Linked DNA regions of Rhinolophus ferrumequinum. The protein of the gene in region 1 purifies or fractionates together with the protein of each later gene. This does not show direct contact. Links are inferred from orthologs where the notes say so. Each region holds a gene or a part of one and is shown on either strand. Other genes may lie near its edges.

Region 1 (7,800 bases):
GGTCTTAGGTATATTGGAATCCTGAACCATAAATGTTCATATTTGTGTCTCCTCTTTCGAAACAATGTGGCCTCTAAAGTATCAAATTAATGCCCTTGTTCTAGGCTCCCAGCCAAATCTCTACCACACATCCTGCTAACTAGGCATTCATTTTGTTGAACAGGCTAATCTATTATCAAACACATATCTCTGGGGACAACTTGTGTATCAGTCATTCACGGAAGCGATGGATGCCTTGAATCATTGGGATTTCTCTCTAGCTAAGATTAACACAAGGAAGGGATTTTGAATGAGAGAAGGGAGGGCAAAAGGGAAGAGAGTGATTTCAGAACTCGTTGCTTTTGGAGGAAGAAAGCTCTAGAAGGGGCATCGCCATCACAAAGGGGCAAGGGTAGCATTAAACATTAAGAGGGCAGCAGAGTCCCTGGGCACCCAGGGCTGAGAGCTCATCAACATGGGGAGAAAGAATGGAGACATAGAATGGAAAGGCATATCAGAAAGTGTTTTACAGACTTGGTGGTTTTGTCAAGTTCAGCAGCACTCTCATGTAGTTCCCTGACTGGCACCTGCCCCCAGAGAAATGGACAATCAGTCCCCTACTACCCTACTCTATGTAGGCTGTTTGCTGCAGGGAAAAGGGCCTGGGAGCCCCATTGGAAGGGATGCTCATGATCCAGTTTCCCTGGTGGGACAGCTGGTTCTGGCTAACATGTGTCTGAGGTAGAATGGAGGGAATTCTTAGGTGGAAGGGAGGAGGCTGAGGGACCCCTGGGCACTAGCAGGAAAGAATACAGCCAACAGTAGTGTCCTTCTGCTCTCTATTGCAAGAGGCTCAGAGTCCCTAACAGGTGGTCACCAATTTAACTGCACTGCAGCCCAAGATGGACTTCCCCCAAGGAGACAAAGGGAAAAGAGAGTAATGTGATAGAAACTTTCCTCATTTGCACTCATGACACTGGCTCTTCCTTTCACCAAAACCTAACATCCCAGCCCAAGCCACACCGAGTGCTTTCTGGTGCTGACTTGTTGACATTTGCATGCTGGGATACATGCAACTCAACATCCCCTAGTCGCCCATAAGCCATGTGGCATCCAGGCTCTGGAGGCGTGTTCCCTCCCTTCCCACCACCTTACTAGAGGAACAGCAGAACTCCTAGGGTGGCAGGTGGGCAAAGCCCCTCTGCATGCATTAATAACACCTATAAACACAGATTTAGGGAAGGAGGAAAGATGTGAGATCCACTCACTCTAGTGTATCCCCCCACCTCTCTATGTGCCAGGGCTTCAGATAAAAACATACTAAGATATTGGCTGTCACCCTACTCATTAGCTGAAAACTACCGTGTTTCCCCGAAAATAAGACCTAGCTGGATCATAAACTCTAATCCATCTTTTGAAGCAAAAATTAATATAGGACCCAGTCTTATTTTTCCGTAATATATTTTACTATATAATATTGTATATATTATTATATAATATTTTACTATAAGACTAGGTCTAATCTAACATAATATAATATAAGACCGGGTCTTATATTGATTTTTGCTCCAAAGGAAGCATTAGAGCTGATTGCCCAGCTAGGTCTTATTTTCGGGGAAACACGGTAAGTAATGGCTACCTGATTCAGTCAAAATGGTGGGCCCAACTGTACTTTTGGAAATCACCATTGTTACACACACACACACACACACACACACACACACACAAATGGCTTTTGTGTCTTGAATAGTCATGAAATATTCAAACACTGTTAAGTACTGATCCTGGTAAATACTCTTAGTCATGAATGAAACAAATCCCAAAGGAACAGCCCTTACATGATAAGGCAAGATTGAAAATGAAAATTCAGGGAAGGCAGCAGAAAGACCAAGCCAGAATCACCCTCTGCAACTAATAACCAGGCAACTGAAGCAACTTTGGGTTTCCAGAGGCTAAAACTGCCTAGGGTTTGGTTTCCTCTTCAAATCTCCCTCTCCATGTGCTCTAGGTTTATCGTTCCTATTAAATTTAGAAAGTGTTCAAACAAGTAACTCTGATGATCAAATATTGGAACTTCTAAATGCATAGAAAAAGAGACGTGTTATTCAACCCAGTGAAACTTTGCCTTTCAAATCTGAGTTTTAATTCACTGCCATCATTATCAAGAAGACCACTGTCAACCAGCACCCCTTGAGCGGCCATTTTTAAAAATGATCTCTTCCTTATCGTGAGGCATTTCTCTGCGCCCTTTAGGACATTAGAATTACCAGCACAACTTGTTTAAGAGGAGGACACTCACACAAACGTGTGAGTGGCACTAGAGGTTCTGCTGTTCCTGCTATAATGATCATGGTTTGGCCCTCACCTAGTGTATTCACGTAGGAAAGCATTTCACACTCACCCAGCTTTCGTTTTAAGTTACATTACTAGAAGCTTTTACTTCAGCTGTCTGATCACTTGGTACAAAGTAAGTTTTCTGGATTAAGTTCTTCTGGTTGACTGATAGTGAAACGCGGATATCCGGTGACCCCTCCCCCATATGAATAAATCAGAGCACAGGGCTGGGAGAGAAGGAATTAAGTAATTAGTTGCCCCCTTTTGAAAATGACAGCAGATGGTTTACCTTTCCTAGAATTGGTCCAACAAAAGTGAAAAGCTGCAAAATTCTATGCCACATCAGGAAAGAGCAACATGTTTGTGCCATGAGCACCAACTCTTCGTTGTTCTCTGATGTGTTCATTAAAAGCACATTGTCTGAAGCCCCGGCAAATAAATGCTTGTGGAATCACTCAGTGACTATGTATAGGCCACTCCCAACTACTCTGAAAGCCCCGTAAGAAGAAATCACCTTGAACTTTTTCTATATAGCTAACTTCCCCCTGCCCCACAAGGCAAGGCACACAATAAGTATTCAATAAATAATCAATCATTGACTGATTTCTCATTTTCACCAATGGGCCTGGGAAAGAAACAGCAAACAAATGTTGAAACAGTTCACACTGTAATTTATCAGTTGAGGAATTAAGGCTCTGGGGGGGCTAGAGGGAATGCACAAGTATGAAGGTCACCCTGATAAAGAAAAAAAAAAAAAACAACTGTGGTGTGAGAAGACGACTGCTCTTAAAATGCACGCTGTTCTTATTCGCCAGAGATGACGAACATTTTCTAAAATCAAGGTTTACCAAATTGGTCCTCTTTGTTTCCCCATTAACACTGTATGGAGGGTGCCAATCCATCTTTGACACTGGATCCAAAATGTGAAGGTTTTTTTCCCCTTTTCTTTTCACTCTTTGAACATAATCCACTTGGTCCCTATCCCCAAAGCGCCTCCCACATAGGGCGGGTTGGGGGGAGCACGCTGGGAAGCCCTTGCTTTAATACTTAGCGGAACTTTGTTCTCCACATGGGCTATTTAGGAGCGTCTGGGTTTCTTCGGGGGACTCCACCGCCTGCCTGGTTCTTCTCACGCAGCACACTGGAGTCAGGGTGATGAGATTCTCCAGGGCGGTCCGGGAGGCGCTGACCATGGTCCTGGCCTCCAGCTCAGGACGCGAGCGCGGAAGGCAAGGAAGGAGATGCTGTAGGAGAGCGCGCGCAGGGCGCGGCGGGGAGCAGCCGTCGAAGCCCCCGCCCCTCCTGACCCCCAGGGAGCCCGCCGGCCTTCATGCAACCCTCCACTGCATGCCCAGAGCTGCATCCAAAAAAGGGTGGGGCACCCAGACACAGTTGCCATCGGAAGGCGCCCGGGAGGATTTAAGAAGAATGGAACCGCGGCCCATCCCCATCCCCCACCTTGCGACCCCCAAGCAGAGGATCGGCCGAACCTTTACCATCACCACCCATCAGGCCCAGGAAAGCGCGGGCAGCCTTTGTGGGCGCACGGCTGCCACAGTCAAGCCCGCGCCTCTCCATACCTTTCGCGGAGAAGGGGCGGGTTGGGTGGGGTGCGTGTACATATGCGGGGAGGGGCAGGACGGTGGGCACGCTGGGATGCTCGGTTCTCCACCGAGCTGTGAGGGGGGCGACGGAGGGGCGATCTCTGCGCCGGGTCCTCCTTCTCAAACACCCCCACCACCCAATACCAACCTGGTCGTAGATGTTCTGCAGGGCTTCCTTGCCCGAGGCCCGCCGGATCTCCACCTTCCGGCCGGATTCAACAGATGGCTCCCCACCCGCGCGCCGGCCCTGCCGGGAGTACGGTGGCTGCGGGTCGGGACCCAAGTGGGCGACGTCCCGTTGCTGAGCCACCACCTGCCCCGAGCCCCGGCCCACCGACAGTGAGTCGAAGTCGATGGTCTTGTTCTCCGAGGACCCTTCTACCGGGCAAAACATGCCACAGAATTTCTGCCGGGGCTTGGGGCTGCCTGAACCCAGGTTTTTAAAAAAGGCAGGGACCTCTTCGTCCTCTGCCGCCTTCCCGGATTGCTTCCTCTCGGCCATGGCGCGGGGGGCTCGGGGAGGGTCCTCTGCGTCCGCCCGTCCGTCTACGATCCCTAAGTCTGCCTCTCTGTGCACAACCCTCTGCAGCGGCTGCCGCTCTCTGCCTACCGCAAGGTGCACAGAAAGGAAGGAGGGCTGGTGAGCGGGCGACCCTCCCTCCCGGTCCCTCCCCCTGACCCCTCTTTTTCCCCTCCCTGCCCACGCCCCCCGCCGCCACGCGAGCTCCGGCGAGCTGCAAAGTTGGGTCTGGGAGGGCGGCCGCTGCGGCAGCGGGAGTGACAGGCTGCCTGCGGGTTCCCGGCAGCTGCAGGCGGAGGGAGGTGCAGGCGGGGCGCGGCGGGGGCGGGGCGAGGCGCTGGGAGCTCCGGCCCGAGCTGAGCGCAAGGGAGGGGGGGAGGGTTGCACCGCCCAGAGCCCCGCGCTCCGGAAGTGAAGCTGCCAGACCACCGGCTAATGGATGGGGAGCGGAGGGCCCGCTAACAGCTCTCGGCTCCAGGGTGAGTATGGGATAGGCACGCTGGGCGAAGACCCGAGGGCGCAGCCAGCCCCTGGCCCTCGCGCCCTTCTACCTACGCGACCCAGGCGCCTCTCCCCCACCGCATTGCGGAGGTAAACCGGGGGCTAGGGCCCTTTATGGGGAGGGCTCCCTCCTCTTACCTCGGGCATGAGCTGATGGATGAGGAAAGGGAAACAAACTGGCTGGCGACAAGACACCGGGGGAGAAGGGAAGAGGCCGCAGTGAGGATGGGGAGGGAATGGCGCAGGCCGTGCGGAGAGGTGGGGGCCATGTCCCGATGCGCGGGACACCAAAGCTTCAGTCTACCTACGGGCTTTGGAGGGCTGTTGGGGGCAGAGAGTGAAACGAGAAGGTTCTCGCTCAGTGCATCCACAGTTGTGGAGGGCGCACAGCACGGCAGGGAGAAATGCAGAGGCGGAGCAAATGGTGGTGGATGTGGGGTATAAAGAGACATAGGTCTGCGTGCTGGCGAGTGTAGCCAAGAATACAGTGCAAATTCCGGCCCAGCACAACTAATACATAGAGAGGGTGCCTGAGGGCGCCACGTACCGTAATTGCGCCACTGCGCCACGAAGGGCCCAGGAGAATGTTCTGATTTGGTATCTTATGCCCCCACCCTCCAAAGGGAGGGAAAGGCACAGATTACAATCCACTCCCCAAATCTCCAGCCCTTACTTGTCTGCCTCCCCTGTACCCCCGCCCCTGTTGCGCACTGCGCCAGAGCCGCGTGCGGGGGCGGTGGGGTGGGGGCATATGTGCCCGCGCAAGTCCAGTGTGAGGTAAGAGATGGGGCTGTGACTGAATGCTTTGAATTGTATGAGGCCAAGCAGGGTAACGGTGTGCGGAGACGTGGTTGTGTATGTGCGGGTAGACCAGGCGCAGCTACCTGGTTGGTGGATATCCAGAGAGCGTTTTGATATGTGCCAACAACACCGTCACTGAGCGCGCTTCATTGCTCACTCCCATCCCCACGTACTTTCCTTGTATCAGTCTTTGCCCCTGGTCGATTACAGCCCCGCCCCTTTTACTACGGTGGCAATATCCTGCAAAGACGATGCCCATCCTTTGGTGGTTCTAGAGGGAAGTCTGGGCATGCTCAGTAACGAGGGTGGGTTTGGGCTAAAAGAGGCTGTTTGCCGCCCCGGAAAGTGTGACCAAGGATTCTGTCCCATTGTCAGCTCTTGCCCTTATTAGGATTCGATGTGGATACTCTCCCTCAACCCAAATGTGAGGGATAGTTTGGTGAATGGAGTTAAATTTGGAGGACCACCAGTCACAGTTTGAGGAAGAGCCCACCATGATAGGTGGGAAGGAGTCTCCTGATGAGAAGGGGAGAAGGAGGAAGGAGAACGATACACGTGTAGGGAGCTGAGAGACCCACAGGTGGACATTCAGACTCAGCACCAGATGTGCTTCTAATTTGAATAAAGTGCTTCCATACGAATTACATCATTTCCTACTTACGGCAGCCTGTGAGAGGAGTGCTTTTCCATCACTACTTTCCAGGGTAGGAAACAGATTTAGAGAGATTCAGACGCCTTGCCTAAGGTTACTAATTAAATGATCCAACAATCCCAGTGGGGGTCTTCCACCTGAAAGTATGGTCCCTTTTCCAAATTATCCTTATGTTAGAAAATACAAAATTTTTTACATTTTTTCCATATCCAAATATTTCCTTCCGTGGACTTACTGTGTATCAAAATTGGTGGTTCAATTGCCATCTTTTTATTTGACAGTTACCTTGCAGGTAGGGACTGCATTTGGAGGAAGAAGCCATGGTAGTTGTTCCATAGACCTTGGAAATGTTTCTTCCTGCACATTTGATGCCTTTTTACATCTCATGTTTCCTCTAAAACTACAACGTGAGAGGAAGGTCACCCCCACATTGAAAGGGAAAGGGAGGCATGGAGAAGTCACTGGGCTCAGATCCATGAGGCTGCTGGGCCAGGGCATTATCCATCATTTTGCCCTTCTGGACCTCGGGCACACTCCATGCCGCCAGCACCTTCCAGAAGGACTGAGGAAATGTGCCTGTAGCAGGAATAGCTGCCACGATGGCTACAGGTTGGCATCTGTGGCATATGGACCTCACTCGGCTTGATGGAGAGTTTCAGGCCTAAGGAAGAATGATCATGGCCGCTTAACACACGCGGTACAACAGAACTGGGAGACTTTAGGAACGCTTCCCTTTTTACATTACATTACCCACTCTCCACTGGCTCTCTGTAGATATGCTCTCTCTTTTCCTTTTTTCCTCAAATGATCCATTCAAGTTCAAATGCTACAACAATACTGTCTTATTAGTAACTTAACATTCATAGCAAAAGAAACACCTATTTGTGCATTTGCCTAGCCTGACCAGACATAACAAAAGAGCATGATTCATAATCCAAGTTTAACTTATTTGGCCCTGAGATTTTCAAAAATTATTAAATGTATATTAAATTCTTATACCTATATTATTATATTATATTAAAGTATATTATATAAGTTGTATTGTTATACTGACATTAATTGGTTTTAAGTATTCGAGTGATTTCTAATTGGACTTTTTTCATCAAAGAACTGAAGCAACTATATTGTTTAGTAGATTGAATTGTGAAGGATAGTCATATTTTTTAATAAACTCGCTGACAGTCTTCATCATTGGATATTATCAAACTATAAAAATACACCATTATTATTTATGTGCAACAGGGCAGCTTGACTTGGCCAGAGCTAAGAAGGATGCAGACACGCCATTGTATGGAGTTGGGTGACATCTTCATATAGTAGAAGCTGAATAAATCAGATCATCGACTCTCATGGAACATTGGAACACATAAACAGGTATCCAGCCACATCTCCTCATATCATTCTTCCCG
Region 2 (7,471 bases), on another chromosome or scaffold:
TCGGTAGATCCTCATAGCATTTAAACCAATTGGCTTCTCTCCATTTCCAGTGCCACGACCCTAGAGTAAAGTACTATCCCTTTTTGCCCGGAAAACTAAAATGACCTTCTAATTTTTTCTCCCCCAATCTACTCTTGACCATTTCTAATCTGTTGTTCTCCTCACCATGGCCAGAGTGATTTGTTAAAAATGGAAAAGGTATTCAATGATTTTCCATTGCTCCTATGGTAAATTCAAAATCTTAAACATAGTGTGGAACTGGATTACTATTCACCTACATTCAGTGCCCTTCACTGTGGTATCCGTCTCTGTTGGAGGATTATACAGCCGTGCCTCTTGTTGTTTTCAGGCATGACAAAGGTTTGGCTGATGAAAAGTGAAATGTCAGCACACGCTTTAAGAACCAGCAGGTGATTTACCACTTTTCTTTTCTTTCTGCCCTGACAATGGCTATATTCCAAAGAGACACTGCTCCGTCAGCCTGAGTCAAGAGGGAACGTGACATGAAGCAAAGCTATGGAGGGCATGTTGCATGAGAGATAAACCTTATTGTAGGCCACTAAGATTTTTGGAACCATTTGTTACTCAGCATAACCTAGCCTATCCTAACTGATACACATGGTTTATAGGCTCTTGCTTATTGCTCCATCTCATTGCACTGGCCTTTCAGTACTTATACAAGATGCTCTCTTCCATCTTAGAATATTTATCTATGTTATTTTCCCTCCTTGGAAAGTTCTTTACACCTGTTTTTGCCTGGTTAACATATACTCATCAGTGAGATCTCAACTTAACTGTAAAGTACTCAGGAAAGGATTACCTGATCTAAGTTCAAAGTACCTGAAATTCAACTTCTTTGTTATTATGTCTCTTTAAACTATAAATTCCATGAAGACAGAGATCAGGTGTGCCTTGGTAAGCATTATATTCCCAGTAAGAGGAAGGAAGGACTTCTTTTCCAAAGAGTAGCTTTTTCTGCATCTTTGTACATTTGGAAGAAAATGGCCATTCTAGCCCTAGAACCACAACAACTCTCCCCTCTAAGGCCACCAACTGATCAGCGTTCCAATGTTCTATTTCAGATTCTTGGAATCAGAATCTGGTTGGCTAAACTTGCACATGTTCTATCATGGTCCACCCAGAGTTTACTGAAAGATCTAGGTCAAGCAGAATTAACTTGCTACAGAGACCTGTTCTCTGGGGAAAGAGGCAATTCTCAGAGAAAGGGAGGTAGACTGAGTAGATATCTCAGAAAATATCTGCTACAGTCACTATAACTGAGTCCACTCTTCCGTGTTCTTGACTTTGTTTTAATAATCTTCTCAAAACTATCCTCACAGAGTATACAAGGGAACAATCCCTATAAGCAATTTCTTAAGGAAGAAACGGGTGGTGATCAAGTAGTTCTGATTCTGTTTCCCTGAGTTTTGCCTCTCCTTTGGCAGTCTGTTACTTTGATGACCACTGCCACTTCACTGTGATCTCTTAGGGGTAAAGGGCTACTCTTTTAACACTAACATAAAAACAAAACAAAACAAAAAACACAACCATAACAAAACAAACACAAATAAACAAACCCTTCCCTCACTCTCCATAATGCTTTTGGGATAAGCTAGAATTAAAAAAAAAAAAATTACTAATATTAAGGAAGAAAAGAAGGGAAACAAAAACTGCAAGGCAATAAAAACAGGGAAGTTTTTCACAAAGTGAAGTTGTTTTTGACCATTTCCCTGGATATATAGTCCTTGTCTCATTTTACTTGGGGTCTAGGGGAAAAGAGGAACCTTATCATCTGAGATTGTGAATCTGTTTCTCACCAACAACAGAGAAAACAAAAACAAAAATGAAGTTCAACTCTACCAGGATTTTTTCCTGTAATATTTCTTTGACTTTAAAAAGGAAAATAGAAGATAACACTGTCCATCTAATTTTTGTTAACGTTTTGAAACTATTTCTATGTTTGGTGATTTCTACTTCTTAAAGACCTTTAAAATATCTATGAAAAACTTTAAAGGTACCTGCATAAACAGTGATACAATCCAGATATTTTTGAGGTCTTTAACTTCTTACATGGACATGTGTTTAAAAAAGTCTTTCATCTTTTTTATTGTTAATGCAAATTAGAACATAACTTCAGGTGAACTATATTTAGGATTCCCTAAAAACATTTGCAAATAGGGACTAAATATAACACATCTGAATCAACATGCTATAGGTTTCCATAAAACTTTTTCAAGTGTGCTTCGTTCTGATAAGTACGTTCCGTGTTCTATCGCTTTTCACCCCCCTGAACAGAGACTATGAGCTCGGTAATTGTTTTTAGCTTAAATTAAACTAATTTACTACTTAAACCATCACATTTTCCAGGTTATCAAGCAGTTTTTATTTTTTCTTGGTCTCCCTTTTGTATTGTATTACTTTCCCCAGCATAACTAATCTCAGAAATAATTTCTATAACTTTAAAAATGTTTTATGTTTGTTGTTTACACTTATGTATGATATATAAAATCAAAACTATTATCAACATTTTCTTCAGCACTAGAACTATGTAAAGTTAGAAGTCTTTCTTTTTCTATGGTAAATAAATTGAGGGACCATATGCTTTGAGTCACTTTAAATGAGGATTCTATTTTAAAGTACTTACAGCAGCATGATGTAGGTTAAAACTAGCATGGGGTTGGCAATTAGGAGATTTAGGTTCAAGGCTCTATCTCTGCCACTAAGTTGCCATGCTCCTAATTAATTAAGTAAATATGGCTTATTTTTTTTCTACTTACAAGAGTTAGGCTAGATATTTTTAAGTCTCTTCTAGTTCTAAAACTCCATGTTGCTAAAATGTGAATGTTTGTTAGGGAGGGCATTTACATCCTGGCTTTTCCAAGTGTTATTTCATATATTTTAATTGTCATTTTCAACCAAGGCAATGCGCTAAACATATAAATAGTTGTCAAACTTTTTGTTATATACACCAGAAAAATTCTTTATCACACATCGTGAGTTGGAGTTCAGAAAATGTGGTCACAGAACTCCAGACCTTCAACAAATGTTTGTCAAATTAATGCGTAAGACTTCAGAAGACAAAAAGATAAACAAAAGTGCAGCATCAGCCCGGCAGATCTTACATGGAATGTAAGAGAAGTACATAAAAGTATACATGCTTCTTATATATGCCAGCTAAGCCACTCTTCGAGTAGCCATCAAATCAAACATTCCCTACCACTTTCTCTTAAGTAGCTCTCAACAAAGTCATTGTATTTCAGCCTCAAATTACCTAAAAGTAGGCAGTTGCCTAGAATATCCATTCACTGCTCAGAAAAAATAGAAGCTGTACGTTGGAGACTTGATTGGCATTCATGAATACTATGGTGTCAATTTTAAACCTGCAGTTCCACCACTTAGCTATACGTTACTAACTAACAGGTTCGGCTTGGATGTTGACTACACCAAGCAAAGTTGGCTTTTTTCCGTTCGTGGGGCTGACTCTGCCCCACCCCTTTCAGTTTAAATTCAGTTAAAACAATTCAAGAAGCCAGTTAATTAAATTTTAAACTCTGGAGTTCCACAGACCAAACCATAGTAGTTCAGCGCTTGGGAAGAGGCATCTCTCAAAGGCTGGGCGTTAAAAGTTACCAGGGATCGCAAGCCGCTTACATTTCTTAAGAAGAACAGACCACACCCCAGTTTAGCCAGCTGTGCACCTTACTGGTCCGAAAGGCGCGCTGGGGGTGGGAGGAAGCAAAAGGCAAGATTAGTGTCTCGGGTTGATGGGGGTCAGGGGAATAACTTATAAAAGTCTGAGTTCCGAAACTGTGCGTTGTGGAGGTTAGAAAGGGGCTTGTTTACGTTAGGCCTAAACTGCGGCAAGAAAAGTTTCACTGGGGAGAAAACAGAAACAGCGAGTAGGCTCCCGAGTTCTAGCGTTCACCGCGGGGCCGTTAAACGCAGCAGGGAAGAGGGCGGGTTTTCTCCTTCCTCTTCCCGCCTCCCCAGACGCAAGCCTAGTCCTTTCCCCTCATTTTCACTCCAGCCGGGTCCAACCCGCAGGCCCCACCTCGGAGCCGGGTCGGAAGCCGCCCCGCCCCCAGCCCGTCTCCCTCCTCGGGGACCCCTCCGCCCCAAGTCTCCCGCCCGCCGAGGGGCGGCGACCATGGCCGTCACGTGTCCTGGCAGCCGCCAAGTGAGGCCGCTTTTGCGACGCAGTGACAGCCAAATGGTGCGACAGGAGGAGCCTCAGCAGCGGCCGCTGCGCCCCTCACCGAAAGGCTTGAGGCGGCTCCTGGCGTCGCCCAGAGGGAGCGATTGAGCGAACAGAGTCCCGCGCGGGCGGGCGGGAGGCGGCGGCTGCGGCGGCCGGGCGGCGAGGGGGAGCCCGCTACGAGTGCCCTAGCTCCCCGCAGCTCTTCATGAACTGGGCGAAATAAGCCGCGCCTCCAGCAGGGGCTGCGCCTCCATGAATCCCTAGTTTTTGTCTTTCTTTCCCGGCTCCACACCCGCCTCCCCGGGTCCCGTCCCGCCTTCTCCCTTCGCCAGTGGCGGCCGCGTCCAGGTGCGGAGTCCACAGCGGAGCGCAATGGCGTCCAATCCCGAACGGGGGGAGATTCTGCTCACGGAGCTCCAGGTAAGGGCCGCGGCCCGGGCGGGAGGATCTGGCAGAGGAGAGAGGGAGAAAGTGGCGCGGGGTCGGGGACCGAGGGAAGCGGTGCGGCCGCCGCGCCCCTAGCCCGCTAAGTGCGGAAACTTGGGGATGTCACTCGGGAGCCGCTTCCTTCGGGAACTGGATCCTCTCCCTCTTCCAGAACCCTGGCCTGCCACTGCTTTAATTACCTACCAGAGGGACCCCATCTCTGCTTGCAGCCCGACTCTGCTCCCTCCTTGTCCCCGGAGCGGCCAGCTCACCGCCCCCTCCCGGGGTGTCAGAGCCGCCGGCGGACGCCCCTGCTGCCCCCTCTCCCCGACTGGCCGGGCCCCGCCCCGCCTTCGCTCGTACTCCGCTCCTCTAACTCCTTTGAATGACTCCCAAGTTGTTTTCTCGTTCCTCCCCTTCCCCTCAGACTCCGCACAAAGAGCGCCCCCATAACTTCCAGCCCCCAGACAAGTTTTTTCTTTCTTTTCCTTTTTTTTTTTAAACGTGTCTCACAAATGCTGGCTTCACTTCACCAGCCCTCTCCAGGTGACTGCATTTCTTTCCTTTAATGCGACGACTACCTTTTTTTTTTCTTTTTTACTAAGTGATATATATGGTCCCCCTTTTCAGCTACTCCGTGCTCAGATTCGGAAGCTCAGATGCTGATGCTTTTCAGACTTTCATTTTCCCTCCCGTTTGAACACCAGAGAAAGAGCTACAGAAGTTGTTTACAAATGAGAAAGCAGTTGACTGAGGGAAAATGTTGGGCACCACATGCCTGCAGAAGATGAGAACAAATTAGGTCCCTTAATTAGTTAAGTCTATGTCGAGTAGCAATATTATTGTTAACTACTTCCAGCTAAATATTTGATGATGTAGACACGATTTTTATTTTTAGGTCTCTATGATTTACAGGGGGTACCTATGCTACCCCTTTGGGTTTATTTTTTCATTACTTTGGAGTGTTCCACAGATGTTTACATCTGGATTGGAATTTTATGCTTGTATTTTGACTTAAACTTAATTTTGATTTTTTAATGTAGTCGTCTCCTACCTTCCAAAGATTGGAGATAGGAATTAGAAGAAAAAACATAGTTACGTTTCTTTATGTGTGTTAGGCAGTTAATTTTTTTTAAAAAAAGACTGAAATTAGACACTGAGGTATTGATTCTTGATAATGTCAAAAATGTAAGTATTGCAACTGTTTCTAAGTTTTTGCCGTTCAAATGTTCTGTTCGATACCTCCCTATAAAAGATTGCTTTATTGTGCTGTAAGCTTGAAGGCATTGTTATAATACGTGATATTTCCTCCACAAAAACAGAGACTTCAACAAGGTGTACCAATGCACTGTTGCAAATTTGGAATCCTTTGGAAATGCAAAGCTGAATTTCTTATCATTGAACATGTTGCTGTATTTTAATTACTCTTAGCCATATTAGTAATTTAATTACTCTTAGCCTTTTATAAGGAGGTCTTACAGCATACATTTGCTAATGAATGGAATTTATTGTTTTATTAATTTACGTGAACTTTTAAAATGAAGTTTGAGGCGCAATCAGAAATGTTTTCCATTGCTTATTCTTGAAATATGAAAGGTACACTTTGGTTCTGACTGAGAAAAAGCCATGAAAATAGCAGGAGCATTTTCCTTTGAATGGAGTGTCTTCAGAATTATAAAGATTCGGCATCCTTTTTTGTATTTTATCGAAAGTTGGAATAAAAGACACTTATTTTGGCACTGGACCTGAAAATATATTTTCATGTGTATTAAAATGTAGCATTTAGGGACTTTTAACAACATCAGTTTTTACATATATATCCAGGGGATTTTTCTTAGTGTATTTGACCCCCAGTTCTAATAAGTTACTGCAGTTGAACTTTATCGTGTTTATTAAAATAAGTGAGAATAAGATAAATGGTGATAAAATTTGGTTCACCGAGCATATCCATCTATTCAAACATTTTAATTATTTCATTGGGTCAAGAAACTAGTATACAGTAACTAAATATTTATCAAGCTTGCTGGTAGAACCAGTTTTTTAAAAACTTCAGAGTTTGGATTTATTTAAATTGAAAAGTTGTTTAATATGACGTTCTTAATGCTTCTCTGCCAAACTATTTTAAATATTTAAATTGTAATTTATGTAGCAAGTTTTAAAACTTGTGTTTAGTAATTAACTGTTACTTTGCCATATTTTGTCTCAGGAATACCTGCTTCACTCTGAAAGTTACATGTTACCTACTTTTAATGAAATAATGATAATTTATTTAGAAACATTGTATATCCAACATTTTAGAATTATTTTTCAAATTATATTGCAGGATTTGAAATACTTAACTACTTGAGCTGGAATTGGCTTATTGACTTTTAGTTGTGGAGAGACAAAGAAAATCTGAAACCGCAGTACTTTGTCTTGTTTATTACTATAATATTTCTATGGAGTAATGTTTAAAGTACACGCAAGTATTGATGGCTAGAGGCTTCAAAGTGTAAGGAAGAATATTTGCTGTAATTAAAATTAAAATAGGCTGTTTAAAAATGAAAACTTAATTGGCAATCTTAAATTTTTATCTCTTATAACAAACTTTTTGTGTCCCATTCATCTTATTTATTTGTTTAGTGGGAAACTTAATGAAATACTTTTATGAGGCCAAAGAAATTAAAGTTTTTCTTTTTTTTTAGTTAAATTTATTGGGGTGACAATGGTTAATAAAAGTACATAGGTTTCAAGTGTATGATTCTATAATACATCATCTATGTATCACATTTTACGTTCACCACCCAGAGTCAGTTCTCCTTCCATCACCATATGTTTGACCGCTTTTACCATCTTCTACAATCCCCC

What was found. The genes of interacting proteins can lie anywhere in the genome.
Region 2: the proteins of PNMA2 (region 1) and PKN2 purify together in Homo sapiens (affinity purification with mass spectrometry; 3 studies listed by BioGRID and IntAct, with this or other methods). This does not show direct contact. The link is inferred for Rhinolophus ferrumequinum from reciprocal best matches to the Homo sapiens genes PNMA2 and PKN2.

Annotation. Positions count from the first base shown.
Region 1 is NC_046301.1:40,887,832-40,895,631, forward strand, and holds the start of PNMA2 (paraneoplastic antigen Ma2), read left to right. Parts: upstream 1-4,780; 5' UTR 4,781-4,916; intron 4,917-4,932; exon of another isoform or gene 4,933-5,028; intron 5,029-7,633; 5' UTR 7,634-7,800. Other genes in the region: DPYSL2 (dihydropyrimidinase-related protein 2), read right to left, coding at 4,066-4,419.
Region 2 is NC_046292.1:66,923,495-66,930,965, forward strand, and holds the start of PKN2 (serine/threonine-protein kinase N2), read left to right. Parts: upstream 1-4,468; 5' UTR 4,469-4,570; coding exon 4,571-4,618; exon of another isoform or gene 4,619-4,646; intron 4,647-4,828; exon of another isoform or gene 4,829-4,943; intron 4,944-7,471. UniProt on the Homo sapiens protein: PKC-related serine/threonine-protein kinase and Rho/Rac effector protein that participates in specific signal transduction responses in the cell.